4 linked regions of the Drosophila melanogaster genome follow. The gene in region 1 interacts genetically with each later gene. Each region holds a gene or a part of one and is shown in the gene's direction. Other genes may lie near its edges.

Region 1 (7,025 bases):
GTGGCTGCTCCACAGCTTTCGCTTTGTCCGGGAATGGGAGCAGATCCATGTTGGACCGAGAACATATATCCCTGGCCGTGCATATGCTTAAGAGCCAGCCAAAGTGGAACCTTGGAACACAGAGCTCCGTGCATCTGAGTGCAGCAGTGCATCCACATGTGGCAAACCAAGATGCAAAGCAAAATTTTTCATAAAACTGAAATTAATGAGGGGTGCAACAATAAGTTATTTACATTCGATTTCAAAAACAATTTATATCTAGTATTTGTTATTAATATTTCAGACCATAAGAAACGCCATAAAAAAACTTAAAATAAATGCTATTTCTCATCTTACTTTCTGAAGTAATTTAAATTATACACCGAGGAGTAAAGTCAGGGAATAGTTTAAAATTAGATCATATTATTGCACTTCTTATTATTTAAAGATGAAAGATGATTTTATCTATTTAAGTTTCATACTGAAAAGGATTTTGAGCTATTAAATGGCCATATTTTCATGTGTATATTATATTTGCACCACAAGAACGGAACACATTCCAATCTGGCCAACAGTAGTTGCACGTACAGCTTTTTCCGCCCAGCTGGGTCCACTTTCCACTTTTTACTCCCCACTTTTCCCCCGAGGACCATCCTCTTTCAATGAACTGTCCAAAGCAGAAGAGGAGCACAAAAAATGGCCAACCAGGAAGGGAAAGAGTAGTATGGTGGGAGGGAGGGAGGCAAACTGGGGCTTCTGTGGCAGCGAGTGCAAAAAGGCGCTCAAATGGGGTTGTCAGTATTTAACCCACAGGGGTTGGAGGTGCCGGCTGACTGCGCGAACTCCGCAGAAGTCCATGTAACCAGTGGATTGAGGATTAGGGATGGGGCTGGGTTTCGAGATGGGGTTACCTCCAACATGGATGCGAGTGCGAGGCACACTAACAAGAGGTGGCGAGGAGCACAGGATTAGGTTCACAGAAAAGGAGCCATCAGGATGTTCGGGGGATCGGGAGATCATCGCCACAGAGACCCCACACACATAAGTCATATGGCCCGAGAAAGAGAGACGCTGCCAATTGAATTAGACCCTAAACGGGGCTGCCAGAGAGAGACATCTAGCGGTGTTAATAAAAACCCAGCCAGCCAAATGCTTTTTGTTCCTTTTCGGCCGCCTTTATGGGGCAGAAAAAAGGCAAACGAGCGAAATTCCGATACAGTTAATGATATGGCAGTGGAGCCGAGAGAGATGGAGCTCTTGGTCAGAGTGAGATTGCTATATACTGGCTAAGGGGGCGTGGCCTGCGAAAGAGCAAGAAAAACTTGACGAAACTCTAGCTACTGAGTGAAACCGAGTCCAATTGGAGGTGGCTCTCTCTCTCTCTTATTCGAGTGCAAACGCAAACTCGGGGTGGCGTATCGTTCATCATCCAATTGTACGTTTGCACTTCGCTCTGGCCTTCCCATGGCCTTCCCAACCCCCTTGATAACCACCGACAGAGGGCGCCAGACTCCGTGGCCCGTTACGCCCTGCGCCCACCCACTCCACTCATACATTTCGTTGGCAAGAGGTGGGCGGGGAAGTGCAAAGTGCGGTGGCCACAATTTGGCCCTTTGGACTGGCCTGCAACTCTTGGCTTTGCAGCCAGCGACACTTTTCCAATATTTTCCATTTCCCCAACCACCCGTTTTGAATGAAAAACGAAGTGGCAACAGTGTTGCGTGGCATCCAGCGATTGCCTTTAAGTTTTCACTCTCCAGAAGTTAGTTGCGTGCAAATGGGCGGTAGTTAAATGCTAATTTCAAATAAAAAACCAAGAAGTAACAGTCGCCAAATGGACATATCAGGTTGCGCGAGGTGTCCTCGTTAAGAATGAATTCAATTATCGTTATGATTTCATGTTTTGGCACTTCCCCAACCACATTTCCACCAGACACGTAAACAAAGTCAACAAAGTACAAGTCGAGGAGCCCAGGGACTGCAGTGCACTGATCCAATTAGCCAAGGGAAATTATTATAATTATATTACGACAGTCAGTGGGCTTCACTTGGCCACGACGGCTGCTAAACTTTCATTTAGGGGCAGTCCCCGGGTATATTGAGCGTTAATAATACGATGCGTTTTCGTTGCGCGACATTGGGGTCAGTATCGAGTGCCACTGCTCTTCACATTTTATGAATCGGTATCTGGAAGCAATGCAAATTTTATAAATATTCTCTGCAACACGTGCTTCTTGACAGACATTTTAATGACAACTTTTCAATAGCTGAGTATATCCCATTTATTTAATCACATAAAATTCATATAAAAGCAAGTCTGTTAGCTATTTATTGATTGCTTAGAGCAATAAAGGGCCGCTTTAAATATTGGCTTATTTATTGTTGAATAGCAATGCGATAAAAACTAATAAAGCAACTGGATCTATAATGAGTTATATATATAAATTTTATTATATAATTTTAAAAATGGCAACGGTTTTTCTTTTGGTTTTTTACAATCATATACCTTTTTCATATTGTAATCTATTCGCATCACATACAATCCTGCCACCTATCATCGCACTACCTTCATGAGTAGCAGAGATAAGCTCGATGTTCTTTGGTTGACAACCAATAGAAAAGAAGCTTTAAAGCAAACATTTAACCGCGAACGGGCATTATGGCCGCCAAACTCTTCCTCCAGATAAGAAATCGGACTTTAAGCGCCACTGAAATTGGTGAAATACAAAGTAGAACGCACTTTAAGGCGGTTGGCCAACCAGAGCAGAAACATTCGAGTAGCCAACAAAAAGATAAACAGCGCCGAAAAACTTTTTTCGGGGTGGAGACTCATTTTAAACAAATTGGCAAAAAGTTGAGACCCCCGAAACCGAAAAGTCCGGCGATAAAGAGCCTTAACGGTAAAAGTATCTAACAGATGCGCCCAACAGCGAGCTAATAAGAGCAAACGGGTTCTAGTTGGATTGGATGAGTGAGTGAGTGTGCTTCGTTGAGTGAGAGAGCAGCCACTCTGTTTCAGTTCAGTGGTGGTGGTGGTGGGTATACTGGGTGCACTGGTGGTGGTGGTTCAGTGGTGGTGGCAAACCAGCCAAACGCGTCGAAGGTCTTGCCCCACCAACGCGAGCGAGCGAGAGCGGCGATTTCACTCAACTAGAAGGCAATGCCAGCTAAACGAGAGTGAGCAGACCAGCACCACTGCCCGTTTGAGTTGAGTATGGGGAGCGGAGAGAGATTTGTGTGATGTGTCGTTAGGTCGAAACGGTCGAGTCGAGTCGGGTCGGGTCGTGTACCTTTTGCCACGAATGTTGTGCCAGTCAGGCTCTAAAAGGCCTTACGAGAACAGCTGAGATTTCGCTGCTCCGCATGACGCAAAGATACCGAAATTGAAAAATTTTCAAGTCTTTAAGATATTATATCTCGTGTGTGCGCCGAGCGGGAAATTAATAAGCAACATCGAAAAAATTCAAAAATTCAAAAATAAACCAAGTGTTTTATTAGTGAAGCCAGCTGAAATGTTAACAGCATATGCAGCTTAAAAGAAAATATTAAATTTATTTTAACATAAAGAAGAAGAATTATAACGCGGCTGACAAATACGAATAAAAGGATACAAGTTAAAAGCTAGAGCCGAGGACTCTATCGAAACCAAAGTGTGAACCGTACCAAGTGCGTACAAAGTGTATTCCAGCAATTATCCCACGTGTTCCGACCCGGCCGCCAAAATTATTACGCACAATTCGCTGAGCGTGTACGGCGGCGGCGTCATGTGCGCCTCCCCGTCCACGGCTCCCGGCTTCTTCAATCCGCGCCCGCAATCCGGCGCGGAGCTGTCGGCCTTCGACATCGGCCTGTCCCGCTCGATGGGGCTGGGCGTCCCGCCACACAGCGCCTGGCACGAACCGCCGGCCTCCCTCGGCGGTCACCTGCACGCCGCCTCCGCCGGACCGGGCACCACCACCGGCAGCGTGGCGACGGGCGGCGGCGGTACCACTCCGAGCAGCGTGGCCAGCCAGCAGTCGGCGGTGATCAAGCAGGATCTCTCTTGCCCCAGCCTCAATCAGGCGGGATCCGGCCATCATCCTGGCATCAAGGAGGATCTGTCCAGCAGCCTGCCCAGCGCCAATGGTGGATCCGCCGGTGGCCATCACTCCGGTTCCGGATCGGGTTCCGGTTCGGGCGTCAATCCCGGACACGGCTCCGACATGCTGCCCCTGATCAAGGGCCATGGCCAGGACATGCTCACCAGCATCAAGGGACAGCCCACGGGCTGTGGCAGCACCACGCCCAGCTCCCAGGCGAATAGCTCCCACTCGCAGAGCAGCAACAGTGGATCCCAGATCGACAGCAAGCAGAACATCGAGTGCGTCGTCTGCGGCGACAAGAGTTCCGGCAAGCACTACGGACAATTTACCTGCGAAGGTGAGTACACTGCGAGAAATTATATTCAAATAGGGGGGGAAACAGTTAGAGTGAATGTGTGAGCTAGGGATGTTACCACTCCACCAGTACATTAATTGTGCTTATGCCATACATGTCAATGTATCTATTTGGTGCCATCTTGAGGACCATCACATCTTGGCAATTTTTATTGCTGAGTAGCGATCTCACCTCCAAGGTGCAATTGGGGGTCAATTGATTTCGTACTCGGATTCGAACTGGGGATGACCAAACAGAAATGGCCAACGTAATAGAAAGCGAGCACAAAAGCGTGCCTGCCAGCCGCTGATTTTTGACAGTTTCGGTGAGTTATGGCAGTTTGATGAGTTGGCAATAAACCCTCGGCCAGGTGTGGGTGTGTGGCGGAATGGTAGAGCAGTGGGAATTCTTCCCAGGGCCATGCAAAAGTTGACGGGATGCAGCTGGAATGTATATCTGTGGGCCAGGGCAGTCAATAAACCTACGTGGAGCCCAAAAGCTAGTTAGTTGATCGGGGGCCCCAAATCATGTAAAAATGTTTTTACGAGCAAAAAATACATTTATGATCTAAAATATAGTTTGGTTTGACCCCAGCGAGATTTATGTTTGCGCATAAGCTTACTGTCTTTTGCTGATATATTATTGTGTCTAATTAAATTTTACAGCTGCAATTGCCCCTAAAGTGGTGATAAAGTATCTAAAAAAAAATCCCTGTTCTGGCAGATGATTTTCCAGATACTCAGATACTTTTGCATCTCCGGCCATCATTCCGTTACACTAGAGCTCGCAGCACGAGAGCTCTTGAATATAGCCATATATATATATATATACATATATTGCGATCTGGGCACCCACTGCCTCTCGGCCTTATCGTCAGATAAAAATTATTATCTAAATAAAATACGGTCCGTGCTTTGTCCTAAGCCAAACAATTGTTGTGCAAACATGCAAATTGTGCGGCGGCCGCTAAATGAAGCGCCCACCTTCTTATTGTCTCTCTCACTGGGTTTCTGGATAAGGGGAGCCTCACCTGGAGTTCCGGAAAAGAGGGGTGGCAGATGGGCAATGGAAGGCGGGAGGCGGGGCAGATGGGTAACTGCATTCAGAGATAGAGGGAGATCTGGCATACGCTCTGGCATTTAGTGCAGCTTGAAGTTGAACTTGTCATGCTCGTATCTCTTCAAATGTTCTGGCACTGGAGCACACAGGCAAAGCCACTGCCACAGCCACAGCTAAGAGCCAAGAAGTGACTATGACTGGGCAGAGGCACAGTGGGCCATTGGTATGATGATACCAGAGATTCCCAGATACTTGGCACTCCGTTGGCTCCCACTGTTCGTTCGCGGGCGCTGCTATTATTATTAATCACCGAGCATTTTGTACGCATGCGCAACCCACAAGAGCAACAATCAGAAGATATGCGGCTCTGTGACCGCCTCGTTGCATTCTGAAGGTGTTTCCCCGGATCCCTTCATGTGGCATAGTATGTAGTTGCCTGTTGGCCTGATGATGTTGCCACGATAGCAATCTATTTTGTTCTATGCAATCGCCCAGACTGCAGAGCTGTAGCTTTAGCTTCACTCAAATGCTGGCGAAATAAAACGTAGGAATAATCATAATAAAGCGCATAGAGCCCATATCATTGCCGGCGTTTTCAGGGTTTTTTTTTTATGTTTGCTACTCTGGTGCCTGGTCGCGTCCTTTCAGCTGATTCACTTCGAGGTGCAGATACTTTTCGTGGCTCTTAGAAAAGAAAGATACTCCACTCCACACCACTCCGTTGCGCGGCAACTCGTTTCGGCTGTCTGAGCTCTAAACTCGTGTGTGTCCGTGTGTGTGTGTGCTCACTTGTCCGTCTGTCTGGAGGTCCCTTCTGTCCGTATGTCTATCCGTATGTCCAGTTTCCAGGTTTCAGGGCACACGGCTAGCTATAGGTATGGGTATAGGTATGTGAATTTATGCCAAGACACCCCGCCAGTCGCGGTACTCGTAGCTGCAAGATTAATTGTAGCTTATGCGTGTTGTCCGCTTCTCATTCCCCTTCCCCCTTCATCATGCTTGCCATCCTGCTGAACAGAAGATCCTCCTGCCCATGTCCTCTCATTGTGGTGGCAACTTGTTTGATTTCGCGCCCAGCTGTTGGTGAAATTGGGAGGACGAGCGGCCAAAAGTCTTGAGCTCATCATCGGCAGGCCGAAGCGAATGGCAGCCATAACCTTTAGCCAACTGGAAAAGTCACGGTTTAGTGCCGACTGAAAAATGTGCGCTGATAAAAGTGCCTCGATAATATTAATGATGAGTGCATGGCTCTAATGTGGCAAGATCCCTTTACGTTCTGCCCCCGCCCCCTGTATCACCTATTAATTTGGCTATTTGTCATGGCTATTAGTGTGGCCGAAAAGCTCAGATTTCCCGTATCTCTCGGCTAGTTGCACAGCCATCAATTAGTGCTGCAGCACAAACAACGGCAAGCTTGCACAAAATATTACTGCCACCATTTCTAGGAACCCAATTGAATTTCCAATTTCGACAAGAAAACTATCTCAGCACCCATGTCAAAATGGGAATTAGCATAACTTAGTGGCGCACCGCGCACATGACAATGACAAATAAATTTTGCGAAAAATTGC
Region 2 (7,349 bases), on another chromosome or scaffold:
CTTCTATATTTAACTGTAATTTAAACTCGTTATCTATAGAAAATTGTTTAACAATGTCTCAATTGTCTTTGCGATTTATTTGTTTATTTGTTATGAGTACAACTTACAAGTATTCATTTCCTTAACTAAAGCCTCTTACTCAATGAACGCCAATAAATATTACTTTTACAAGTAAAAATATTATAAAGTTTATGATTTTTAAACACAAATTTCTTGTTTTTCTGGTGTAAACCTTAGAATATTACACCTTTTGCCAGTTGTAATTTAGAACCACTGGCGCCACCTGTGGGCCACACTTGTCTCTTTTTCAAAGCAGAGCAGAAGGGCAAAATGCTGACCTTAATATGCATTAATTGTTGCAGCAGAGCGATTCTAATGCGCTCACTCTCATTTTCCGACTCCCAATCGCTCTCTCTCTCTCTCTCGCCCCCTTTCTCTCGTTCTCTTTCTCCAGCGGGTTTCTTTCTCCGCTCCCCCACTCTGTGCATTTTCCATTTACGTGCTTTATGCTTTTTTTGGAGCAGCGCGCTGTTTCCATTTCGATCCCAATTACTGTTGTTGTTGTTGTTGTTGTGGCCTCTTTGTTGGTGTGGGGGATCTTTTGTTTTGTTTGTTTGTCCTTCTCTAATTGTGGAACCTGTGCGTGTGTGTGTTTTTAGAGATGGCACGTCAACGGGAATTTTGGTGGGTGGTGGGGGCATGTTAAATCAATACTGATTAACTGGGATTACATTGGGGAGCATTGAAACTCCCACTTTAATATGAATATTTATAGGAGCATTGAGTTTGCAGCTAAAGCTATGTATCTAAATTGCTCCAAAAAAGAAACCTTTGAAAACAATGAATGCATTCGAACATAAAATCAACTTAATATTCATATGAACCTATTGTATTTTTAGCTATTCTACACGTTAATTACACTACCTTATAAAATAGAACATAATCTTAAATTTAAAGTTTTGCTAATTTATGTATTTGTACAATGTACTTTCATATTTATGCCATTTATAGGAGATTTTTCCGCAATAAAATGATCACAGAAACTCTTAAAAGTTCTTCCTAAAAACTTATGAAATTCTTTGTTCCTGTGCAATTTAAGATATTTAGATTTAGATTTAGAGTTTGGGCAAAATGAATTCTAAATATTTGAAATTGTATATGGAAGGTATTCTATAATATTTTGGCATAAGTATATATATTTAGATTTGACCGATTAACTCAAATGATTCAGCCTCGTGACACGAAAAGTTCCACCCGCCACTCAATCCGCAGTGCAAGTAACTAAGCAAATGCGATATGTGTGTGCTTAAATGCATATAGCATGTTTATGGGTCTGCCGAATGGGGTTTTTCGAATGGAGTAGGGTGCGTTTGTGGGTTTTGTGGCGGGGGGAAAGGGGGGATGGGTATTTCGGTGGCCTATGTGCGCCTATAATTATAAGGCATATACACTATATACATATGTACATGGGCATAGCATAGCTGCGTGTTTTTCGTCGGGTAAATAGGTGCACACGTCAATTGCTGGAACGACCTCAATGGGTTCCCACTTCCAGGCCCCCCCTTCCACGGCCCACATTCGTTTGATTTTTCCGCACTGGAAAGTGGGAAAACCGGAGCAATTATTTCCCGATCCGATCATGCTACAATTATGTATGTTTAATTTTTTTTTTTTGCTGCTGATGTTGTGTTTCACTATTCACCATTCCATTGCCGTGGAGCTAGAACATGCAATTATTTTAATGTATTCGGCCTTGGGACTCATGAATGTCAATTGGCACGTAAGTTCTCCATTAGCTATTAGCTTTTACCCGCGGCTCCACGCATCCAAATGCAAATCTCTATATGTATATATAGATATGTACCTAAATGTGTACATACAAACTCATATGGTTTACGCTGCAAATCAGTCGTTTTGTATGCTAGCTTCGTTTTTTTTATGGTTTTTTATGGGGGCTAGGCGACTCCCACCCACTCGCACATATTTATACAAATTGAGACAGCGGAAAAAGTGCAACTCATTTGAATGGTTTCGCCTTCATTATGCAAATACGAGCACTGTTGGTGGCGAATATTTATTTGCTCATTATAAATACATAGAGTTTCTGGCATTTTAGCAATCATGACTTGCACGCACACGAGCATTAAACGAGTTTCTAAAATTCAGTGTAATGATCGAGTTTTATGGGACTATTGCATTCGAATTTGAACTGAGTGGGCGCCAACATATCGATAATATATAATGACAGTCGATATTTTCATAGCAACCAGCTTTCGCTGGGCTCGCTGCGCAACTAGGTGGCAGCTCTGAAATGTATATTACATGTAAGAAATCCTTTTACAAACTCAATAAATAATAATAAATGCTTGAAATAAATGTATATTTCAATACTTCTAAAGCATTTTATATATTATGTTTTTATTGGTATTACGGAAAACCTCCAACTTTCAATTTTAAAGCATTATATTTATAAATAAAATAATTCTACAAGCAAAAAAACTCATTTAATCCTGGAAGCACTTATGGATTTCACATTATAAAAGAACTGATTAAATGTATGAAGATACATCATTTTATTAACGTACATTTTGTAATATTTAATTTTTTGAATTTTCAGTTTCTGCGCGCCCATATCAAAGTCCGTAGCAAAAAAATCAATATAGGAAATGCAATAGGTGCAAGCGGGACGACCAGCTGAATCGAGCGGCGAAGCAAAGAAGACCCGATAAGGCGATGCCACCTAGTTAGAAACTAATAAGTAGTTGCATAAATAATACAGTTTTTTACACAATAGAAAATCCAAATGAGTTCTCACTCAATTTTAAAGCAAGTTATCTACTATTTGGAAACACTACCCAAGTAGTTTTCAGCCTTTGAGCACCTTTTGCTACATTTTAGCACCTTGCGGCGATCTGGCAGCGCCACACGAAAATGGCGAACACGAGCACTCCGATGAACGACGAGCTGAAAAAATAATTATTATTTTAAATTCCGTTTTGCCAGCGAAATTCGGTGCGTGCGCGAAAAAGAGTGCGGAAAAGCGCGGTTGAGAAATTTAATCGGCCCATTATGAAGCGGTCAAAGTGCGGCGCCAATGCAAATGGTTAGCCAAATGGCAAGAAATATGTAGCGATAGCGTGCCAGCCCAGTAAAATCAAATAGAATCAAATTTAAGTTTCTTGCTTTGCGAATTATGAAAAACCAATCGCAATGCGTGTGTGTGTGTGTACGTGTGGTGCGTGCGCGCGTGTGTTAGTGAGCGAGCGTAGAAGCAGAAGGCGTAGCGAGAAATAAAAATAAAAAACCATACAATAATTGATTTAAAAAAAAGAAAAGCAAAAAGGCCAACAAACGAAAAACAGCAGAAGCAACAAAAACACACGACAAGCGGCAGCAAAAACAACAACACAAAACTGGCGGTAAATACGCATACAGTACGATACAAAAAAATAAACTAGAAGCAACAACAAATACGCAACGTAACGGGAACTCTTTGACGTATTTCCTCTATTATTATGCAAAAAGGCAGGCGGCAAATTGCAGCAGCAGCGAAAATCAAATATAAATAGCGAAAAGGTAAGGACAGAGGCCCCACAAACTAAACTAAAAATAAGAGCCGAACATATTTGTTGTTTGCAGAGTGCAGTAAAATGGGTGCAAATAAATGGGCAAAAGAAAGAAGCAACAAAATACTGCAAACCTTTCAATTGGCTTCAATTGGCAAATGTAATTGTTCAGCATTACATTTGCATTACACCGCTCACCAACTCTTGCTCCCTCTCACTCTCTCTCTCACTGTGTTCTCCGCTTTTGCGCTCCCTTTGCCCCTTTTACTTTGCAAAGTTTTGCGACGAACAAGAACAATAATAATCAAAACAAAAATGTTTAAAATCCATTTTCTTTCGCCTCTCCTTCACCCACTCACTCATTTCGTAGCGCGCTGTCATTTGTCTTGCGCCTTTGCCTCCCCCCCTCTTCTTCTTCTTCTTCTACTTTACGTTGTCCCCTTCTTCTCTCTCTCCCCGCAACATTGCCGTCTCGCTCGCTCGCATGCACACCATGCACGGGTGAAGAGGAGACGTAACGAAAACGAAGTTGGTTTGCCTGGAATGCCACAGTGGGTACAAAAGGGTTTGATAGTGGTCACAGTCGACACAGTGGGGTGGGTATTTCATTATTCTGCAACAGAAACTCTTGTTATTCTTATTAAGTCAAGCAAAACTAGCAAAAATAAACATTTCTAGCCGGCTAAAAAAAAACTCAAAATCCAATCCAAAATCCAATAAATATTTAGTACAAAGTGCAAGATTGCTAATAAAATAAACCAAAAGTATAGCACTTACTTTTTGTAGGAGATGAAGGTTGTTAAAAGCATTCATATATAATTAATACGAATAAATTTATTTTATTTAAGTTCTAAATTATACGTACTTATCATTTTATATAAAGATTTACATTGCCTTATGCAGTGATGTTACAATCATCAATGTAGATCTTATAAGAATCAATAGGCCGTCCGTAGGTCGGGTAGGGTGTAGAAACATAAAGTGCAGTGAGGAAATATTAAAGGGCAAGAAAAAGTGAAAAAGCAATAGCACAAACATACAAAAAACACGAACACACATTATCCATTTGCCAAATAAACATGCACAAAGTAAGAGAAAGACGGGGAAAATGCAGAAGAAGAGGCTCCAAAAGGCGGCAAATCGCTGCATGTGTGTGTGTGAGCGAGAAGGCAACAATGGGACGAACAATATAAAAAAAAAAAAACGTGGAATTGGTCTAGTAATGTAAGAAGAAGAGCAGTAACAACGCGGACGAACGGACCGCATAATGCGCGTTTAATGATAAGTCTCTCTGTCCGAAACGAAGAGAGAGACATGGAGAGAGCGCGGCTGAGAGGCCCGCCGATTTTCGAGTGGGTGGCAACACCTAGTCTTCCTCTTTCTTTCACACCTTTTCTTGCCGCCGTTTTGTTTTGATTGCGAGTCTTCTGCGAAATGAAATGCAAATACAGTGGAGCAGCCTTAAGCTCGTAAACTTTTACATATACAATAAATGCAAATAATTTAAAATAAAACAAGTTTGGAAAATGCAACTATAAATTTTCTTATTATTTTTCTTAATTTGACTTCGAAATTTGTAAACAAAGATAGATTTCGAATAAATCAAATCAAAAACATCTCTTTGAGTATCCACTGTGGCAACTGTAACTTTGTAATAAAGAAATCCCTTGAAAATCTGACTTATTGTTCGGCATAAAATTGTGGTTGCATTTTAGCCTCCGCATTGGAAGTTGCAAGCAAAAGTTGGCATCTCCTCTCTGTCCGCCTCTTCGTCGCTCCATTGCCTCCCATTTTATTTGCACGGCAAGTTGCCTCCTCGAGCATCCTTTCAGCATTCCTATTATTCTTTTTTATGTTCCTTCCTTTTTTTTTTTGACAATGCCCCAACTAGCAAAAACAACTTGCAGGCACCAATACGTGCCATTGAAAACGAGAAAGGGAATTTAATCCGAAAAACACTGATTTCAGATACTCTAACTGCTACTTGGGGATTTTGTTTGAATGTTAATTAATTTAAAAACTAGTAGTAAATGGAAAAATGTAGTGTAAAAAGAGCGTTTTATTTGAAAATACCATTTATTTTGTTGTAAACATGTGACCATACTATGATACCCTTTTAAAAGGGCATACAAAAATGAAGTTTCACTGAAAACTGGTTTCAGTTTCGGTTTTCTTCCTTCTGGCCTGGCCCAACATTTTACATGAAAATGTGCAAAACAAAACCATTCCGGCGGTGCTAAAAACCACGCGACATGACCAGCACTAAATAAAGTTAAAATAGTAACTATTCGTTGAGCTCATAAGCTTTAAAAAAAAAGGTAACTTATGTTCGAAAATAAAACAAAATAAATTAGCTTGAATGGAATGTTCATTCATATACAAGTAATTTTGATTCTCTTCGGTAATCATATTCATTGGATTATTTTTACTCTAAACAGATTGGGAAAGCATACTAAATTGTTTTTGGTGGGTTAAACTTAAGTTAAATAGGCTGCTACAGAAAACCTTCTAGGGATAGAAACTAATAAGTTTGTTTTGAAAATCAGGACTTCAAATGCATTAGCATATTGTGATCTAAATCTCTTGAAAGTGCTAAAGTCTCGGTTCAAAAGTAATTAAAAATTGTTCTTCAATTCATACGAACTTGAATGAAAACGTTTTTAGTTTTATTATTCTTATAGAGTTATCAAAATAGAGAGTTGAAGGGAACTTAATACTTCAAGAACTTAAAAACTATTTTTATGTTAGCTGTTCAGGGTGCTACAATCGTTAATTACCATATTTCCCATAGGGCATTTACAATTCGACCTGCATAGCCTGATAGCCATTGACTATTCCTCCTACCTGTCTTCGGCATAGTTTATCCACCCCCCACCCCCCTGCCCGCCACCTCCCACTTTGCGTCTTATTCCCTGTAACTCGTTGTAAGGCGCTGTAAGGCTCTCGAACACAATGGACCGACTGGCTGCAACTCCTTTTGTGGCATCTTCAACATGTGGTTGGTGGTGGTTCAGTTGCATCGGGAACGGCAATTCGCCAAGAACTCAGATAGGAGGATGCAGCCAGTTGTCCTTAAAGTCTCTGTATTGATTGATGATTTGCCATTGCAACTCCTCGAGTGAACCGCATTAAATTGATGATTTTCTTCGGCTTTTCCCGCAGTATACTGGAGTATACACACATTTCCGCAGCGTGTTGAGCACGCCACAAGCATAAACAAAAGTGAGCAACAGGAATTCAGCTAGGATTCGGCGTGAAACGAATACGAAAAACCATACGAAATGGCAGCGGTTCGAGGACATCAGTATTTCAGTCTGCGCTGGAATAACTACCAGAACACGATGACGTCCGTGTTTCAGCAGCTGCGCGAGGATCTCTCCTTTGTGGACGTCACTCTGTCCTGCGAGCATGGATCCCTCAAGGCGCACAAGGTGAAGTATCTCGATATATGTATCTACACTATAGTTATGAAGCTAATCAAACTTTTGTTCAAAAACTCCAGGTCGTCCTGTCCGCCTGTTCGACGTATTTCCAAAAACTACTGCTCGAGAATCCGTGCAAACATCCCACAATTATCCTTCCCGCCGACATTATCTTCACCGACCTGAAAACGATCATCGATTTTGTTTATCGTGGTGAAATCGACGTCACCGAATCGGAATTACAGGTGAGTCGATATACTAGTTGTTAGTTTTTGCAGGTGATTCTAAAATAGATTTATCATTGTAAGAACGATATAATAGAGAATATATATAGAAATACAAAGGAATTTCATCTGAAATC
Region 3 (7,246 bases), 1.4 Mb from region 1:
AACAATTAACAATTAGTCTTTATTCAATAGGATGAGAGAAAAGAATGCAAAGGTTTTTATGCTGGATTGTGGTTAGTTTTACTTTCTTTATTTGGCTGTTTATTTTATTTTATATTTTTTTTTTTTTATAAAAAGGAATGTTGAAAAAATATGCAGACACTTATAGTTTACTATGATGTGTACGTTACTCATTGATTTCTGGACTTTTTGGAAAGATATCTCATCGTTCTCGGCGGATTCCCGGCAAATTTGGAACAGTCTCATCACACGGCGGCGGAATTTCGATTGCAATTTAGTGATTTGTGCTTCTTTTTTGTGGCAATTCGTTACGTTACATTCGTTCATTGTGTTTCTTTCTTCGGGCGATATATAATGTATAGTTTTTGAGCTTCATAAAACAAAACGAAAAAACTGCGAGTCTCTTTTTCACTCGGTCTCTCTCTGTCTCCGATTACTTGGTACTTTTTTGTTTTTCTTTTTTTTTTAGGTAATTTACAAGTTATACGTTAAGAGATACAATACAATATATACTCGTATACAGTTTACATATGGATCCAATTTTAAATCGAGATTATTTCTTGATAATTTTGTGTGTTGATAGTTCTATATATTGGCTGACTGACTGATTGTTTGTTTGTTTTAGTTTTGGATAGATAAATACCATCAGCATCAGTATCGGCGGAGCGGAGACTTTTGGAGACTGGAGTGTGGAGAGGGTTGCATATCCTCCAAGTATAAGTCCGCCGAATCCGAATCCGAATCCGTAACCGTTTGCCGGGGGCAGGAATACGAATCCAAATCCATATCCGAATCCATATCCGTCTTGAGCATAGCTTAAAACCCTGACCTGGGGCATTTCACTTCTCTCAAAACCTGCCGGAGAGGAACAAGGTTAGTTCGCTCACAAGACAACAGGATAAGCTATGATTTTCGATTTAATTTCTCCATTTCGTCCTTCTTCCTTTACGGGGAATAATCTGCATCTGCTTCGTCAGCGCTGGTTTCGTATTATCGTTTAAATGTACAGTATCGTGTGACTTAAGATTAAACTTAGATATAAAATGATCATAAAGGATGGGCAAATGAAGTGTACGCTAGACCTAAAAACCAAAACGCAGGGGAGCAAACAAGAGGACCATTCTACTTGATCATCATTATCTCTATGCTTTAATCCATCAAAATTATTTATCATTTATAATTTACATTAATTGTTCGTTAAATTAATATTTTGGCGCCTTGGCAACTCCAAACAACGCCGGCTGTCGCTCTCTGAGAGTAAGAGCGCGCAAAAGAGGTGGCGAGCGAGCGAAGCCGGCAAGCAAGAGAATAAGTGAAAACTGCAAAACACGCACACACCTACAGAACAGCGGGCGTTAGGTTGGTATGTATGCCTGTATGCAGCCGCCATTTTGGGTACAAAACTGGAAGAGCACAAAATAACAACGAAATAGCCGAAACAAAGAGTAATGCGAATTAAAAAGAATACACTGACAAATACAAACATAACTTTTTCCAACGTTTTTTTTCGCCACATTTTTTGCAAGTGAAAGGCAACCGTATGATTTGTGTTCGTATGCGTCACAGTGTGTCTGTGGGGCAACGTGGGAAACAAACATAACCTCACAAAGGGGAGAAAATGTGCTCCTAGCTTAAGAAAACTCTGGTTTTCATTGCGGAAAGTGCGTGTGTGTGCAGGGGAAAACGTTGAAAATTTTCCATGTCTCCCGAGACTGTGATGATGCATTTTGGCCCGAAGATTCTATTAATATGACTGAAGTACAGTCGCACCGACACCTCACACACACACACTTAAACACACTCCGACGCACGAGCGCAAGCGAGAGAGAACACAAAAGGGGTCAGACTTCCCCCGCAGAACCCCGTAAAATCCAATGAAACTCGACCAACGACGTTAGCTTTGCATTTACGTAACAGAGTAGGCAATATACACTATGTAGAAGCAGAAAATCTATGGGGGGCACATGATCATCGGTTGCCCGTTGCAAAAATAAAAAAGAACAAAAAAAAAACGTATCCGCCGGATAATGGACATACCTGTCGTCGTCCCGCTGGCCGGATGCGGCCGATTGGTTGTCCGAACTGCCGTTGGTCGAGCCGGCGGCGCCCGCATCACCATTTTCAGATCCCGGACCGTCGGCAGTCACGTCCTTGGTGAAATCCTCGCCGTTTATTTCTGTATCCACTTGCTTGTTCTCGGCCATTTTGTGTGTTTTCGACTGATCTACTAATTTCGGGGGCTAGGCAGCACGATATTCGTTTTTTACGCAGAGCCGGAGATTTTTATACACACTCGCCAAAAAGTCGCGCGTACGAATGAAATGACGACCGGAAAATGATAAATGCAAACGACAGCGTGTGTATATGGGTGCGGCGTTGCCACCTTGATGTTTTCCCAGTCAAGTCGATTTGGTATTATTTTGGTAAATATTTGTATTGTATTTGCTTGCTCTACCTGGAGATTGTTAGCTATACATTTGCCAAGGATTAAATTGGGATTTTCTGTACGATACCACCCCAAATAAGCCTATATAAGGAGCTAAATGGGCGCGTGACTTGTCTGCTTGCAGTATGGCAGCTTTGATTTATACAATGTACACACACCTATGAAGAGAAAATGAAAAGAATACCAAAAATTTTATACAAATATTTTAAAGCCCAGTTTACACAATGGACAAGTTACTTGGTTTATAAATTCATTTTAGTTGTATTAAAGGTTTAAATATTTAAATAAATATTAAGTATTTCATAAACATTTATAATTTTATAAATATAAAAAATACAATGTTCATTATTTACTATGTGTTGGGAACGAAAACAACATTTACATACAAAGAATTGTTTAAAATCGAATTTTCATATTAACTTCTTATAGGCTGAAACATCAACAATATTTTAAATCATTTAATTGGTTTATATTAAATATTTTTATTTTTTGCAAAAATTTATACAATTTTCATATTCGGATTTCCCAACAGGTTATAATATAACGTTATTATGGTTTTTATTTATTTGCTATATAAAATGTTTCCTTTAAAGAAAGGTGTTTCATGAGCTTACTCAAAAAATCGGAAATGGCTAAAATGAAAATAAGTTTTATAAAACTATTTAAAAGAAACTTAGCGCCCCTAAAATGAGCTTAATTGAGCTCAAATATGAAAATATCAAATTCATCAAAATATTCTATGGAACATACTAGATTAACCACCCCAAAAAAAGAAGTGTGTGCACACCCTTGGAAAAGCCGCCATCATTCACACACCAACACACGCGAAACCAAGAATAAAACTGTGCAGAGGCAAAAAAGAGGAAAAGAGGAACGAACGTCGGTTCTCTTCTCGATTCAACACACTTGTCCAATTTCATTGCGTTTGCGATTATTTTCTACTCAAAAGCCACAACATATGCATCGTAACTTAATTCAACAACAACTGTGATCGCCAAACATCAGAAAGCAACAAAAAATACACGTCAAGAATTGCCAAGTTAGTTATTCTCAAAAAAAAAGACAAAAAGAATTGCAACAAACTAGACTAGTGTGTGTGTGTGAGCGAGTGAGTGCATTGGTGTGTGTGGCTGTGTGTTTTGTGTGCAGCTTGCAATTTTATACTGCATTTCATACGTTTCGACTATCGTTTTGTAAATTAAAAAAACCGCATAATTTCAGCGCTCCACTAAGAAATCCAACTCTCCCCGCCCCCCGCAGGAAGATAACAAAGAAAAGTGCTACAAAAAGTGCCGATTTTTCGGCAAACTTCAACCCAAAAGCAATACACACTGTGCATTACAAAAAGGAAAAATAAAAACGAGGAAAAATATCGCTTAAAAAAGGTGAGCCGGCGACGGCCTCGTGTGCGCGGTCTAGAAAAACTAGCATTTTCCATTTTCAAAGGGGTGGCGCATACTAGGAAAAAATCAACATAAAAAATGCTAAATGGGCGTATATTTTATTATTGCGGCAGGGCTCTATCTCTTAAATTTTTTTTTTTACCATTTTAGCGGCTTTTTTTATTATCGCTTGTGCATAACCTAAAAATGTACGAAAAATTTTGTTTTTGTACATTTTTGTTTAAATGCTGCTCTTCAACTATAGCTTTCTTTGTTCTTCCTACACACGCGGTTCGCAAGCAGAAATAGAGTGGGAAAGAGAGAACCCGAAAGAGCGGCGCGTTCATAACCGAATATGTGTGCGTGTGGGTTTGCCGCAACTCATTGTGCATTTTTTGTTTTATCGGCAAATGTTTATGGCTAAAATGGGGCAAAGGACACCTGCAAACATTGATATTTACTTACACCTTTTAACGCTATTTCAAGTGTTTTTGCAAGGCAGCAATTTGATATTTTGGCCAAGCTGGAGTTCATTGTATGCGGCGCCACAACCTTGAGACCCGAACATAACCTCAATTTAATTCATGCTCCTCGCTTGGCGGCTTCTTTTTTTTCTTTGCCAAATTGTATGAGGTCATTTACTCGCGCACACACACACACGTGCAAAGTTCAGTCAGCCAGGATCGCAGGCATAAAAGCTGGAGCACGTGCAGGGTTAAATGTCCTGCGACGGCAAGCAAATTGGAATTTTTCCTGACAGCTGCACTACACCAAATTTCCCCTTTTCGCATGTGCAAATGTGTGTGGGCCCCAAAAGTGGGTCAAACTGCAGCGCGCTGCGTCTGTTTTATATGCACTGCGGTAAAATGAGCTCCCTGTTTTGGGTGTACAAACCTCCCCCCCTCCCCGCCGTCCTTGTGACCAAGCGAAACTCTAGATCCTTATTGGAGAGCACAGCAGGGGTCAACACTTTGGTAGTCAGTCACATTTCTCTAGAAATTTATGTAAAAGAAGCACAGATTGATTTAATGGACAGTCTGAAAATCCAATTAAATTTGTTTCTTATATTTGCGTGTTTTACCGTTATCAAGCCTTAATTCTCCAAATTAAATTTACACGTGATGAAATTAACTGATAACACAACTAGTGATTCATTATGGTTTCTATACTTTTACCGGCACAGGTATGAATAAGCCATCTTTGAACACCTTTTGGAGATTGTAAGAAACAGGGTAGCAGCTTCCTTTAATTTCAAATTATCAGATTGAAAAATCTACACAGTCGTCTAGGACTTTTGCCAACTTTTCTTTTTTTTTATTAAAAAAACCAGACAGATTTTCATAGTGCGCGTATATTTTTTGCACTATTTCGCAGACGTTCCCACACTCTCAATCGACACAGATCAGCCACCGTGTCGATAGATCCGAGCAGCAGCTAGAAAGAAGGGAAGCAGAAATTGGAAGCGGAGACAAAGAATCCGAGTCGAAGAGTCCGTAGTTCAGAGAGGAAGAATCAAACGCCAGCTATGGTCATGGATGCGACCCAATCGCAGCAGCCTTCGCCGCAATCTGTGGGACGCGAGTTTGTCCGCCAGTACTACACGCTGTTGAACAAGGCGCCCAACCACTTGCATCGCTTCTATAACCACAACTCGTCGTACATCCATGGAGAGTCCAAGCTGGTGGTCGGTCAGCGGGAGATCCACAACCGAATCCAGCAGCTGAACTTCAACGATTGCCACGCGAAGATCAGCCAGGTTGATGCCCAGGCCACTTTGGGCAACGGTGTGGTGGTTCAGGTCACCGGGGAGCTATCCAATGATGGCCAGCCGATGCGGCGTTTTACCCAGACGTTCGTTCTGGCCGCTCAGTCGCCGAAGAAGTACTACGTGCACAACGACATCTTCCGCTATCAGGATCTCTACATCGAGGACGAGCAGGATGGCGAGTCGCGATCGGAGAACGATGAGGAGCACGATGTGCAGGTCGTCGGTGGCACTGTGGATCAAGCTGTGCAGGTGGCCGGCGATGTAGTTGCCCAGCAGCCGCAGCAACAGCAGGCTCCTCCGCAGCCACAGGCTCAGGTCGTGGTGCCCCAGCAGGTAGCTCCTGTAGCGGCCGGTGGTGCTGCCCCACAGCAGATCTTCTACCCATTGCCAGCGGGTGCTGCCGCCGGACGTCCTGTGGCTGTTTTGCCACCAGCTCCGCAAGCCGCTGCTGTTCCACTGCCCGCGCAGTTCACCGTTCCGCCGCCACAGCCCATCCAGAACGGTGTGGTGTCGCACGAGGAGCTGCAGCAGCAGCAGGTGCTGGTCCCACCCAGCGTGTCTCCCCTGGTACAGCAGCAGCAGCCGACCGGCACGCCTGTGTTGCCCATTGTTCCAGTGCCAAGCGCGGGCTTCCAACAGTCGCCACTGGTGGCACCACAGCTCATCCAGCAGCAGCAGCAGCAGCAACCGGCACAGCTGCCCCCGCAGCAGCAGCAGCAGCAGCAACCTATCCAGCAGCAGCAGCCTTTGCAACAGCAGCAACAACCGCTGGCTGAGCCCGAGGAAGTGGAGGTGGCGCCAAGGCAGCAGAAGCCTCCCACGCCCGTCGAGGATTTCAAGACCATTCACGAGCAGCAGCAGCAGGAGAAGTACGAGGCCGCCAAGCAGCAGCAGAATGAGCCCAAGACGTACGCGAATCTCTTCAAGTCCACGTCCTCCTCGCCCAGCGGCTTTGTGAACGCCGCACTGCAGCAGCAGCAACAGCTCCAGCAGCAACAGCAGCAGCAGCAGTCCATCAGCAGCAACACCTATAACTCTTCCTCGGCAACCTCGGGTGGCGGTAATGGCAGTCAGGTTAGCTACTCCACCACCGCTTCGTCGTACAACAACAGCAACGGCAACTCGCGACTGGACAACGGTGGCCCGCTGCCGCAGCGAAACAACTCGATCCGCAACAACAAGGGTGGTAAGTTCATCGTTCCACCCTTAAATTAAAAGGGGTCATTCCCCTCTATTCGGCTTCAGGGTAAAAAGACTAAAAGATGTAGTGCAAACTTTTGGATCTCATGTAGAAATGAAAACAGTGGTTTCTAAGAATTACTTTTTTAGTCCCCTTATAATTTATTATGATTGGCTTACGTTCAGATTTTTAGAAAGGTAATGATTCATTTTGTTGGTTTACTTTCTTATCAACTTAAGGTTGGCTTATATGATAAGCAAAATTGGGTACCGCTTTTTAGAAACTCTTCCTAATAACTTGCTGTTTATACTTTACAGACTTTGAGCAGCGTCGCTCGAGCAACACGCAGCAGTTCGGTGATAATCAGCAGCTGTTTTTGGGCAATATACCGCACCACGCCAGCGAGGATGATCTGCGCGAGATCTTCTCACGCTTCGGAAATGTCCTGGAGC
Region 4 (9,460 bases), on another chromosome or scaffold:
GCACCGTGAGAAACGTGTCCAGAAGCAGAAATTCTAGTGCTTTGGCAGCGGGTGACGACGACATGGGCAATGGATCCTTTGTTGTGCCATCCACTCATCCATATTTCAGGAGTACCACACGCTTGGGATACGAAAGGTGATGTGGTGAGACTCATTAAAGGCAAAGATTGGTATGGAATGAATTAAGGAATGATTTAAAGTTGTGCTAAAGACAAAGTAAGATAAACCAACTGTGAATCCAGAATGTGTTAGAGAATGAATTTAAATTCTGTTTTAGTTAGAGATCAAACTGTGACCTTGAAATCGTTCTTATGTTCTTATGTTATATATTTATATATCTTTTGTTACTTCGCCGTTTGTTGTTTAAAGTATACGTTTTCATATGGGGACTTAACGTTGCACATATTACTAAATTGTTTAGAAAAATTCTTGGAAATTAGTGGTATACATTAAACCTCAAAATTGGAAAATAAAACTTATTTTCCCAAGCGGATTATTTGTTGGCAAATTGTGAGTGCACTCACCACTGGAGTGGTGTTTTTACATATTTTTTTCATTTTTTTTTTACATTACATTTTAAGAACTTGGAAGCATATAAAGGTATATTATTGCACATAGTACAGAAATAGTAAGACAGCTGAACGAATTATATATTTTGATGAAGATGAATTAGTAATACTATTGTATTGGATATAACATTAAAATATATTTAATCGCTTACAACGATATATCTTTTACATATTTCAATATTTATTGGATATTCAGGATTCTAAATAATAGATCTTGTGGATGGTTTTCGCTGAATGCGAACAAAAGAAATTCAATTACTGACCAAAATTATGCTAGACCGATTGAATTCATTTTTCGCCGCCGCAATTCGCCTTGCTTTGAATGTTAGGCGCCACCTACAGTAATTTCTTGAAAACTGTTTGGTAGCGACTGGCGCTGTGACTCCATAGATGTCGCTGGTGTGACACTTAAAGGCAACGGTATGTTTAAAATAAATATATTTCCTCTTAAAGTCAAATTGCATAAGAGATTAAAAAAATTTGATGTACAATTAATAAACAAACAATGGCGTAATAATTGTTTTTAGACGGTACCCTTTAGTTTTGCGTAGTGTAGTTTAGCTTTAATAGTGTTTAATTGCGTAGTCAAAGTCGAAGTAAAATAAATAAGAGCAGTGATTTAAAAATGGGAATACAAAAAACCGAATTTTTTCAAATGCACCAAAACCATTTGTTTAAACATATTGATAGGATCACAATAGAGATCTTGATAATAAATATTTAAATGCTTAACCATAAATCTCCAAAAAAAACTTCGTTATCCCATTCTTATCCTCGATATCTCATCCTGGCACCTTGGGCACTTCCTCTCTTGGGATCCCAGAGATCTACATGAAAATTTGATACGCATATGTCGCGGAAATCGATCGATCGAGGGTCCAGTTCCGGATACATTATTCGTTCGCCACGCAACTCCCTCGCCTGATTCCATTCATGTATTCATTCATCAGAGGCCTCGATTGCGCTTGGAACCTCCGTGCCCCATACTTACTCCTTACTCCCTACTGCCTACTCCTTACTCCCTGCTCCTTACTCCATTGTTTACTATCGTCGAAGATGCGTAGTAAAAGTAGCGGCGAGCAGCGCCAGTTAACCCAGTGTCTGCGATCTGAGAAGATCGTCGCAAATCGGAGGAGCGGACGAAGAAGGTTCGGACGAAAGAAAAAAGGAGAAGAAACATCTGTCGCCACGAAGAAATCCGGTTGCAAGCTGCAACACCACCGGCTCAAAATGAGCAACAACACAGAGAACATATGATTGAACTGCCCGAATGCCGCATAAAAATGGGTAAAAAACGAAAAATCGAAACGCACCTTTTGTGTTTTTGTTTTTTTTTTTTTTGTTTTTGGAGCAGCTGCCGTTGCTGTCGGTGCTTCGTCGCCGTTGCGGAGGATCGACGGGTTTGGGGGGAGCACCAGACTCTGCACTCGGCAGCCTGTTGATGAGCCCACAATGCGCACATGCTGCAAGCTATTCGTGCCGCGGATGATATGGGCTCTGTGTTGAGCCGGCGGGTCCTCCATAATGATAAGTGCCCGTCGAGGAGGCCGTCCACATTAAATTCGGCGTTTGTCGCTCAATGGCAGCTGCCACCGATTCCTTCGGCGGCTTAAGCAAATCCAAAGGACTGGACGCGAGGGACGAGCTTGAGTGTCGAAAGTTCAGATAGGTCAAGTTGTCAAAATATTCGGAGACAGTTGTCGGTGCTTTTCGATTCATTCATAAAATTTGCGAGGCTCTGATCGCTGAATGAATTTGGCAATTCGCCTTGCAAGGCAATAAAATTATAAAATAAGGTTTATCAGCAGGTTAAGAATCATTAACATTGTTATTCCTTATTTTTTATAAATATTTATTTGGCATAAAAGTATATCAGTCATCAGAATTTTATTCGTGGTTAAATTGTCAAACTTCTGCTGCATATTTCCACTGGCACTGCCTTTTGTTATCCGTTTCCTGTTTCAGAATTCGCACTAGTCATCCTAGCAGTCAACATCCCTTTTGGCGCCCTTAAATGTGAACATATGCCGCCTGTTTGTTTTGTTTCGGCTATGTCACCCTTATGGTTGCTTTTTCTCTCACTGCAATATTGGGTTATATGGTACATGTTTTCATTTTTCAAAAACACCAGGCTTAATCTGAGCCCAAAAAATTGCATTTGAGTATAAAAATTATACAAAAATAAATAAATATTTTTAAATTTTGTTTTATATTTGAAAATATATATATGATTTGAAAATATGATATATTTTGCATGACTTTTATTTCATTAGTGTCTAGCTTATCCTTTATCTCTTATTTTTCCCATCGATCCGACAACGCTCGCCACTCTCGCATGTCATTTGCCAGATGTGGCAGCCCGCAGGCACAAATTTTGAAAGTGGTGCCCAGAATGCGATGAGGACAAGCAAGGCTCATTCGAAATTTGTGCGTGCAACGCGAAGGACGTGCCGCTCCGTAGCTCGCTGTCCCGCTCTCGCTCTCCCCGCTCTCTCGCTCTGTCGCACGCGTTCGCCGCTTGGCATTTGTTGTTTGCCACATTTTCGCGGCACCCCAAAAAATCGTGAAAATACAAATACAATACGAGTGCGAAAGTCGAATATCGGCAGAAGTTAGTGCGACCTTTGGTGACGTCAGAGGCTGGGAAAAATCGCCAGGATGTCTACCAATCAGCAGCAGCAGGCGAATCCTTCGGCGGCCGTTGCCGCACCCGCCGCCTCCTCGGAATACCTGAAACGCACCTGCCTCATCTGCGGCTGCCACACCAACCAGACGATCAATATCTACGAGCCCCGCTCCGGACCCAATATCGTTCAGCTAATCCAGGCGAAATTCAAGTTTCAGGTATGGATTTTTCCCAACTTAGAGCAAAAAAAATAAAAACTCAGTTAGGCGGGGAACGTATAAAAATCGATATTGGGGCAACTCGGCGGATGAGTCATGCAACGAAGGAACGTCCTTCGGACAAAGTTTTCCCTCTGCGCGTGTATCCGTGTGTGTTTTTTTTTTTGGGTTAAAAGGGGATGAACTTCGCTGGGCGGAAAATGGGAAAATGGGTGGCACTTCTATAGGCAGGTACAGGTAACTCCCTCACAGCAGCCCACTGGGAAAAAAAGAGTGGCAAGCTATTTGATGATTGATTTCGAGCGCAGTTTTCTAATATTTTTAAGTGATTATTTGCAAAGAACTAAGGTCTCGGAATTAGTAGTTCTATCACAAACTACTTTCTTAATGAAAATTTCAAAATCCTTTATCCCTATTAGTTTTGTGGTATGCCCACCTTTTCCTGTGCCCTTTAAACTGCATATCCTGTCGCCGAGCAGATGATGCATTTCCCCGACAACCTTTGGTAATTGGACACTTTGCATATGTGCCAGTGCCACAGAGCCGCCACTTAGTTCGATTCCTTTCCCATAATTTTTAACAGCTTGTTCTAATATGCGAGCAGTGCGGTGTGTGTGTGTGTGGGAAATGCGACAGCGGAAGATGGCCAGGGAAATCGATCCTGGCTGAAGATCCTGGGCTTGTTTTTCTGTGGAAGTGAGTTTCGGGTCTCGGATTACAGGCACTCCTCCTCACTCAAATGACTACCCATGACTACCTGTACCGGCGGCGCACACATAAACCTGCTCGAAAGGGCAGATGTGCTGTGGATTTGCCGAGATTGCTCCAATTTCTGCGGGCAGTGAACGAACCCGGTGTGTTCGTTCTCTTCGTTTCCATATCCCAAAACGACAGCTGTATTTGCCGGTCGGCACTCAAAATCCAACCCATCGGGGTTTCTGGATCCTCTGCTGCTGCTGCTGCTGCTTCTTTATCAGCTCTTCATGGTCTCGAGTGAGTTTTTTCGCATATCAACTATTGAACTCGGATACCTGGATGCGAGTTCACAGTTTATTGTTTGTGAGACGAAGGGATTTTCCCCAGCAGCATTGGTGGTTGAACCCTTGGAGAATGCCAAATATCTTTGGATAGAAATTCCGGTTTCTTAAGCTGCGCAAATCCAAACAAAGGATCTACCCTTGGAATAGCGTTTACAAAGGTGATTTCAAATGCCCGAATTTTCAGCCGAAGTCCCAGAAGTGCCAAGCTAGACAAGATTTCCATTTAGAGGTCTTCGTTTAGTTTGGTATTTTTGGGAAATAGTTTTTACTAAGGTTTCCGTTCAATTGGATTACAAAGTCAGAATGAGAGTTCTTAAAACGAAGTCCTATAAAAACATAAACAATATTAAGTGGTTGCTAACATAGGTTGTTAAAATATTGGGTAGATATTGGTAGATTGTATTTCCACATATTTTCGGAATATATGTTTCGGTCTTAGATTAATTGAAGCATTGTGCTTAACTAGTATTGTGTGTATAGCAATCAATTTAATTACGAAATGCTCGAGACGCACGCAATGCGATTTCATAATAACAAAAACCCTCAGCTAACCCCGCAATATCAGACACTAGAAGCTCACCCTCTATGCACATAGAATATATATATATTCACCCCCTCCGGACGTCGTTAGAATTTCGTTTGAACCGTTTTTGCGAAACCCTATACGGTGGGCATACACCACCTGCCGTGATCGTAGCCTGGCAACCGATCTCCCCCACAGGAACAACACCCTCGCCGGGTTCTCTATAAGCTCGAGTTCTGAATGACAGTGCCATAAAGTCCAGTTGCAATTACCTTATCAGACTGCGCCCCCCCACCTCCCACTCTTATGCACTTAGAAAAAAGGAACATTACAAATTGAGTAAATATGCAGCTATATTAACAGAAGCACGAAGAGTTGTTTTCAAACTAATAGAAGTACTTTTAAACATATTTTTCATGTGCCCATATTTAACTGATCTTAGGAGTGCACACCTTTTTCTCGCAGTGCATCTGCGATCGGCGTGCGTGCGTGTGCGTGTGTGTGTGTGTGTTTGTGTGGCTTTCTGTCTGCTTTGCACCTGGCCTGCAATTTGCATTATTATACCGTTTACACATGGCCCTTGGAGCACACCTTTTCAGCGCCGAACCCAAAGGTAAACAGCCAGCCACAATCGCTCCTGATCCTTTCTACCCTGCACACCTCCTCCTCCTCTATCGCCATCCTGGTCGATCCTTTCGGTTCCCCGACCCTCGTACCGATCACCTTTATCTAATTTCTCGGCGCAGCTGTCGCGCATGCGCGTGCCTAATGGTCGTCATAGTTGGGGTTTTAACCCAGTTCCCGCTTCGGTTCCACTTCGGCATTATGTGTTTTTTTTTTTTATATATATGGATAGGGCGCGTGGCTCTTGGCCGAAAACGAGTTTCCTTCGAGGCTCGAACTAAGTAGCGAATGTCCCTTTGGCTTGTTACTGGTTACTGGTTTTCCGTACCTTTTGGGCCAGCTGCTACCGCTGGGCGCTTAGTTTTTGCTGGCAGGTGCACGAAATTATTGATACCCGAGGAATGCTGAGGTCTGGCTGGGTAATTAATATGCCCGGGTCGTCTGGCAGTTGTTTTTCGGAATTGTTATGGTCTTTTTTTTTTTTTTGCACCTCTGGCTGGATGCTCATTAGTGGTAGTGGTGGTGGTAGTGGTCGGGTGTCGCGAGCGATCACTAAGTGCATAGGCGTATCGTAATTTTCTAGAGGTTTATTCTGTGGGTTATGCCTGGCTTCAGATTGCGAGTCACGCAATCGGATTTGGGTCAATTTTCATTCTAAGGTTGGTTCCTGATGACCTTAACGGTTTCATGGCTATAATCAATAAATGATTGGCCTTCGTGGCTCTGCAAGTTACAATGTAACCGCCTTCGGTTCTTTCTAATGGCTTTTTATCCTTTACTTGGAATGCTACATATCAGTCTAAGGCAGTAAGCAATTTATAAAATGGGTTATTACTCAGCCATTAAATTAATTGAAGGACCAAATGAGTTTGAATAGTTATGATTAGTATATTATGATTAGCAATAACTTTATAGTCTAGATAAAACTACTTCTACTACCCGTACTCATCTATTCCCTATATATCTCTACTTTCAGCCCCTGAACGAGGACAAATTCCTCTGCTTTAGCTGCAACAACTGGCTGATCAACTGGCACTCCCTGCAGGCGGTCAACAGCAATGAGGCCGAAAGCCAGAGCCAAAGTCCCTCGCACATGGGCAACAGTGTGCTGCAGCAGGAAAGGACGAAGCTCCGTCCGGTGGCGATGGTTCGACCCACGGTGCGAGTGCAGCCCCAATCGCAGCCCCAACTGCAGCCCCAAGTTCCAATTAATCCCACACCCGCACCCATAGTCTATTCGAAGCGAAGAGCCAGCAGACGCAGTGCCTCCGTCAGCCGGATGAGCCGAGTGCTGCGCCAGTGTTGTGTGGAGAGTCTGCGGCGGAGTCCCAAGAAGCGCAATCAGCAGTCGGTGTTCGTCTGTCTTAGGCCGCAGGGCCAGAAGAGGAGCAATGCGATCTGCAAGGTGGAGTGTGTGGCGCCGCGCCGGAAACCAGTGGAGCGACTGGTTAAGGATGTGGCAGCTACAGCTACACCCACACCAGTGCTCAATACACAATCCACGCCCACTTACCAAAGATTCCCGCAGCCCAGTGTGGATGGCAAAGTAGTGGCCATGTTCCGTCGACTGGGAACCACACTCAGTCGGGAAGAACCCGCCGCATATTCAGCAGAATCAAACCCCGCCTGCTCGAAACTCCCGCAGATCATGAGTCCGCTCAAAGAGGCGCCGCGCTGGACGCGGGACCTCGATGATGATGAGATACTGCTGGAATTCGATACCGCCATATCCGAAGTCCTGCCAACTGCCCGCTATCAGGTTACCCACGAGGAGAACAAGGAAAACCAGCAGGCACAAGAAATGGAGCTGGAGCTGGAGGAGGAGGAAGAAGTGGATGGCCGAGCGGAACTGGAAGTGGTGCAGGAGGCGGAAGCGCCACTGGAACCGCAGAGCCACCACAAACAAGGAAACAGCCACCAAAATTCCCACCAAGCTTCAATCCAACTCGCTGGCCTGCGATTACCAATGGGCCTTAGCATTAGCCTCGTCTAAAAACGATGGGTCCAATTGATGCCCCGCACACAAAATAGTCAAATTGCATGCACAATACGCAAATTATGAGCATTAGCAAATGTCTAAGTTAATAGTACCTCGATTACATTTTAATTGTTAGTCAAATACCTTAATTAATTAGCGGACAAAAAAAAACACACACACACAAAACAAACAACAAAAGACCTAAGAATGTTAAGTTAACGGATGTGGAAAGCTATATTTAAAATATACATATTAGTCGTAGGCAAATCCCTGACTTACCCAAAAAAAAAAACAAAAAAGAGAATCCCCTCGAGCCAATGTAGTTGAATTTGTTTGTTTGCTCCAAAAGACAAAAGTATTTCAAAATAACATGCGAAATAAAAATAGCACAAAAGCAATCAGTATATAAATGAATGTTTTTATATTTAAATGTACGGGTGGTATGAATTTTCTATTTATTCCGAGGAATAAGGAGTGATCTTTATGAAAACCAAATTAATTTTACATTTCCCGCCAAATGTTACTCATCCAATTAAATTTTTACGTTGAAAAGTATGCACTTTTTCTCGTTACTAAATTGGGGCTGCCAACTTGTTTTCTTCACGGCGCCAAAAAGTATGCTCTAATTTTTCTGTCTTGTGGCGCCAAAATCAAAATGTAGAACTGCAGAAAATTTTCCTACAGAAAATATTTCTCTTCAATATTTAACATAAAATATGAAGTACGAGAAATTAAATTGTTAATTGTTAAATTAACTAAAATTACTATGTTTTACTTAAAAATTTTCTGCAATATATTTGCTAATAAGTTAACTAATAGAAAAGCTAAGAAAATTCATCACATTAGAAATCCATTTTAAGATATTCCAGAACCAACGAACGACATGCTCTTAAATACATACATATATCATTAGTTTTCGCCTTGCGTGCGAAAGTCCGATGTGTAATTGTTGATTTCTGATGCTCTAGCGTATTTATTTGATTTAGGCAATTGCGTAGTGAGAACGAACGTGTGGAGGTCAGCATCGTCGTTGTTGTTGTTGTTTATGCAACTGAGACAGCGGTGCGTATACTTATTTTGGCTTACAATATGGCATTTCATCAATACACGAACTGATGACTGAGTGGCTGGCTGGCTGGCTGGCTGGCTGGCTGGCAATTGTGGTTTCGCCGACATGACTGGCAACGTTAATAATGTGGTGCGGAAATTTCTACGCGCACTTCAAGTACGCCTTATTGAGACGGCGACTAAGGTTACTTTTATTTATAAATAAAATTCATCGTGCCTTCTGAACTTGAAGATGACTTGCCGCCACGTCGAAGGAGACGGAGAGAGCGTGCAGTTTCCGGAAATCGCGTATACGCCCGATGGCCGTGCGAAGAGCTTACGCCTCGCGATTCTCGCCACTCTGCCGCCTACGAATGACGGTCAAGGTTGAGGCAGCTTCGAGCGGCTTGCCACACGGCACGTTCTACGTTCTGTCAGTCAGAGATTAAATCATTGAGTGCTGTGCGACATTTTTAGCCCGTCCAAGGATGTGCGGTCTTGCCAAAAAAGTGTAGACTTGTCTAAGGTTAGTGATGCACCGTGAGAAACGTACTTAAGGAAATCGTTTATTTAAAATAAATATTATTCTAAATATCGATATAACCGATCTGTGAAACACGTTTCATACTCATAAGATGTATGTAAAAATATTTAAATTATATCCACTGCCAAGGAATTAATGCCTAATTCAACTGCGATAATTCACATGGTTTATATTTATATCCATTTGCTTGAGATGAACTCTCGCTTAATGAGTGCAAGTTGTTCTGGAAAACACGAGATGTTCGACTGGTTTTCGTTCGGTTCCTGTTTGAGCACGTTTAATTAGCATAAA

The links.
Region 2: of svp (region 1) and psq, changing one suppresses a phenotype caused by changing the other (phenotypic suppression), as found in Drosophila melanogaster (one study listed by BioGRID).
Region 3: of svp (region 1) and rin, changing one suppresses a phenotype caused by changing the other (phenotypic suppression), as found in Drosophila melanogaster (one study listed by BioGRID).
Region 4: of svp (region 1) and phyl, changing one suppresses a phenotype caused by changing the other (phenotypic suppression), as found in Drosophila melanogaster (one study listed by BioGRID).

The regions. Positions count from the first base shown.
Region 1 is NT_033777.3:12,277,852-12,284,876, forward strand, and holds the start of svp (seven up), read left to right. Parts: upstream 1-3,258; 5' UTR 3,259-3,743; coding exon 3,744-4,398; intron 4,399-7,025. UniProt on the Drosophila melanogaster protein: Receptor that is required in photoreceptors R1, R3, R4 and R6 during eye development; generation of the ganglion mother cell-2 (GMC-2) fate in the nb7-3 lineage, coinciding with the transition in the expression of HB to KR in the neuroblasts (NBs).
Region 2 is NT_033778.4:10,554,958-10,562,306, forward strand, and holds the start of psq (pipsqueak), read left to right. Parts: upstream 1-2,930; 5' UTR 2,931-3,419; exon of another isoform or gene 3,420-3,576; intron 3,577-6,728; 5' UTR 6,729-6,847; coding exon 6,848-6,997; intron 6,998-7,068; coding exon 7,069-7,233; intron 7,234-7,349.
Region 3 is NT_033777.3:13,643,698-13,650,943, forward strand, and holds the start of rin (rasputin), read left to right. Parts: upstream 1-3,306; 5' UTR 3,307-3,503; exon of another isoform or gene 3,504-3,572; intron 3,573-3,685; exon of another isoform or gene 3,686-3,849; intron 3,850-5,124; exon of another isoform or gene 5,125-5,220; 5' UTR 5,221-5,371; coding exon 5,372-6,800; intron 6,801-7,111; coding exon 7,112-7,246. Other genes in the region: sqd (squid), read right to left, coding at 2,056-2,222.
Region 4 is NT_033778.4:14,425,861-14,435,320, reverse strand, and holds phyl (phyllopod), read left to right. Parts: upstream 1-2,983; 5' UTR 2,984-3,227; coding exon 3,228-3,413; intron 3,414-6,576; coding exon 6,577-7,593; 3' UTR 7,594-7,985; downstream 7,986-9,460. UniProt on the Drosophila melanogaster protein: Essential adapter component of E3 ubiquitin ligase complexes; involved in R7 photoreceptor cell differentiation, embryonic nervous system, external sensory organ development and specification of particular muscles.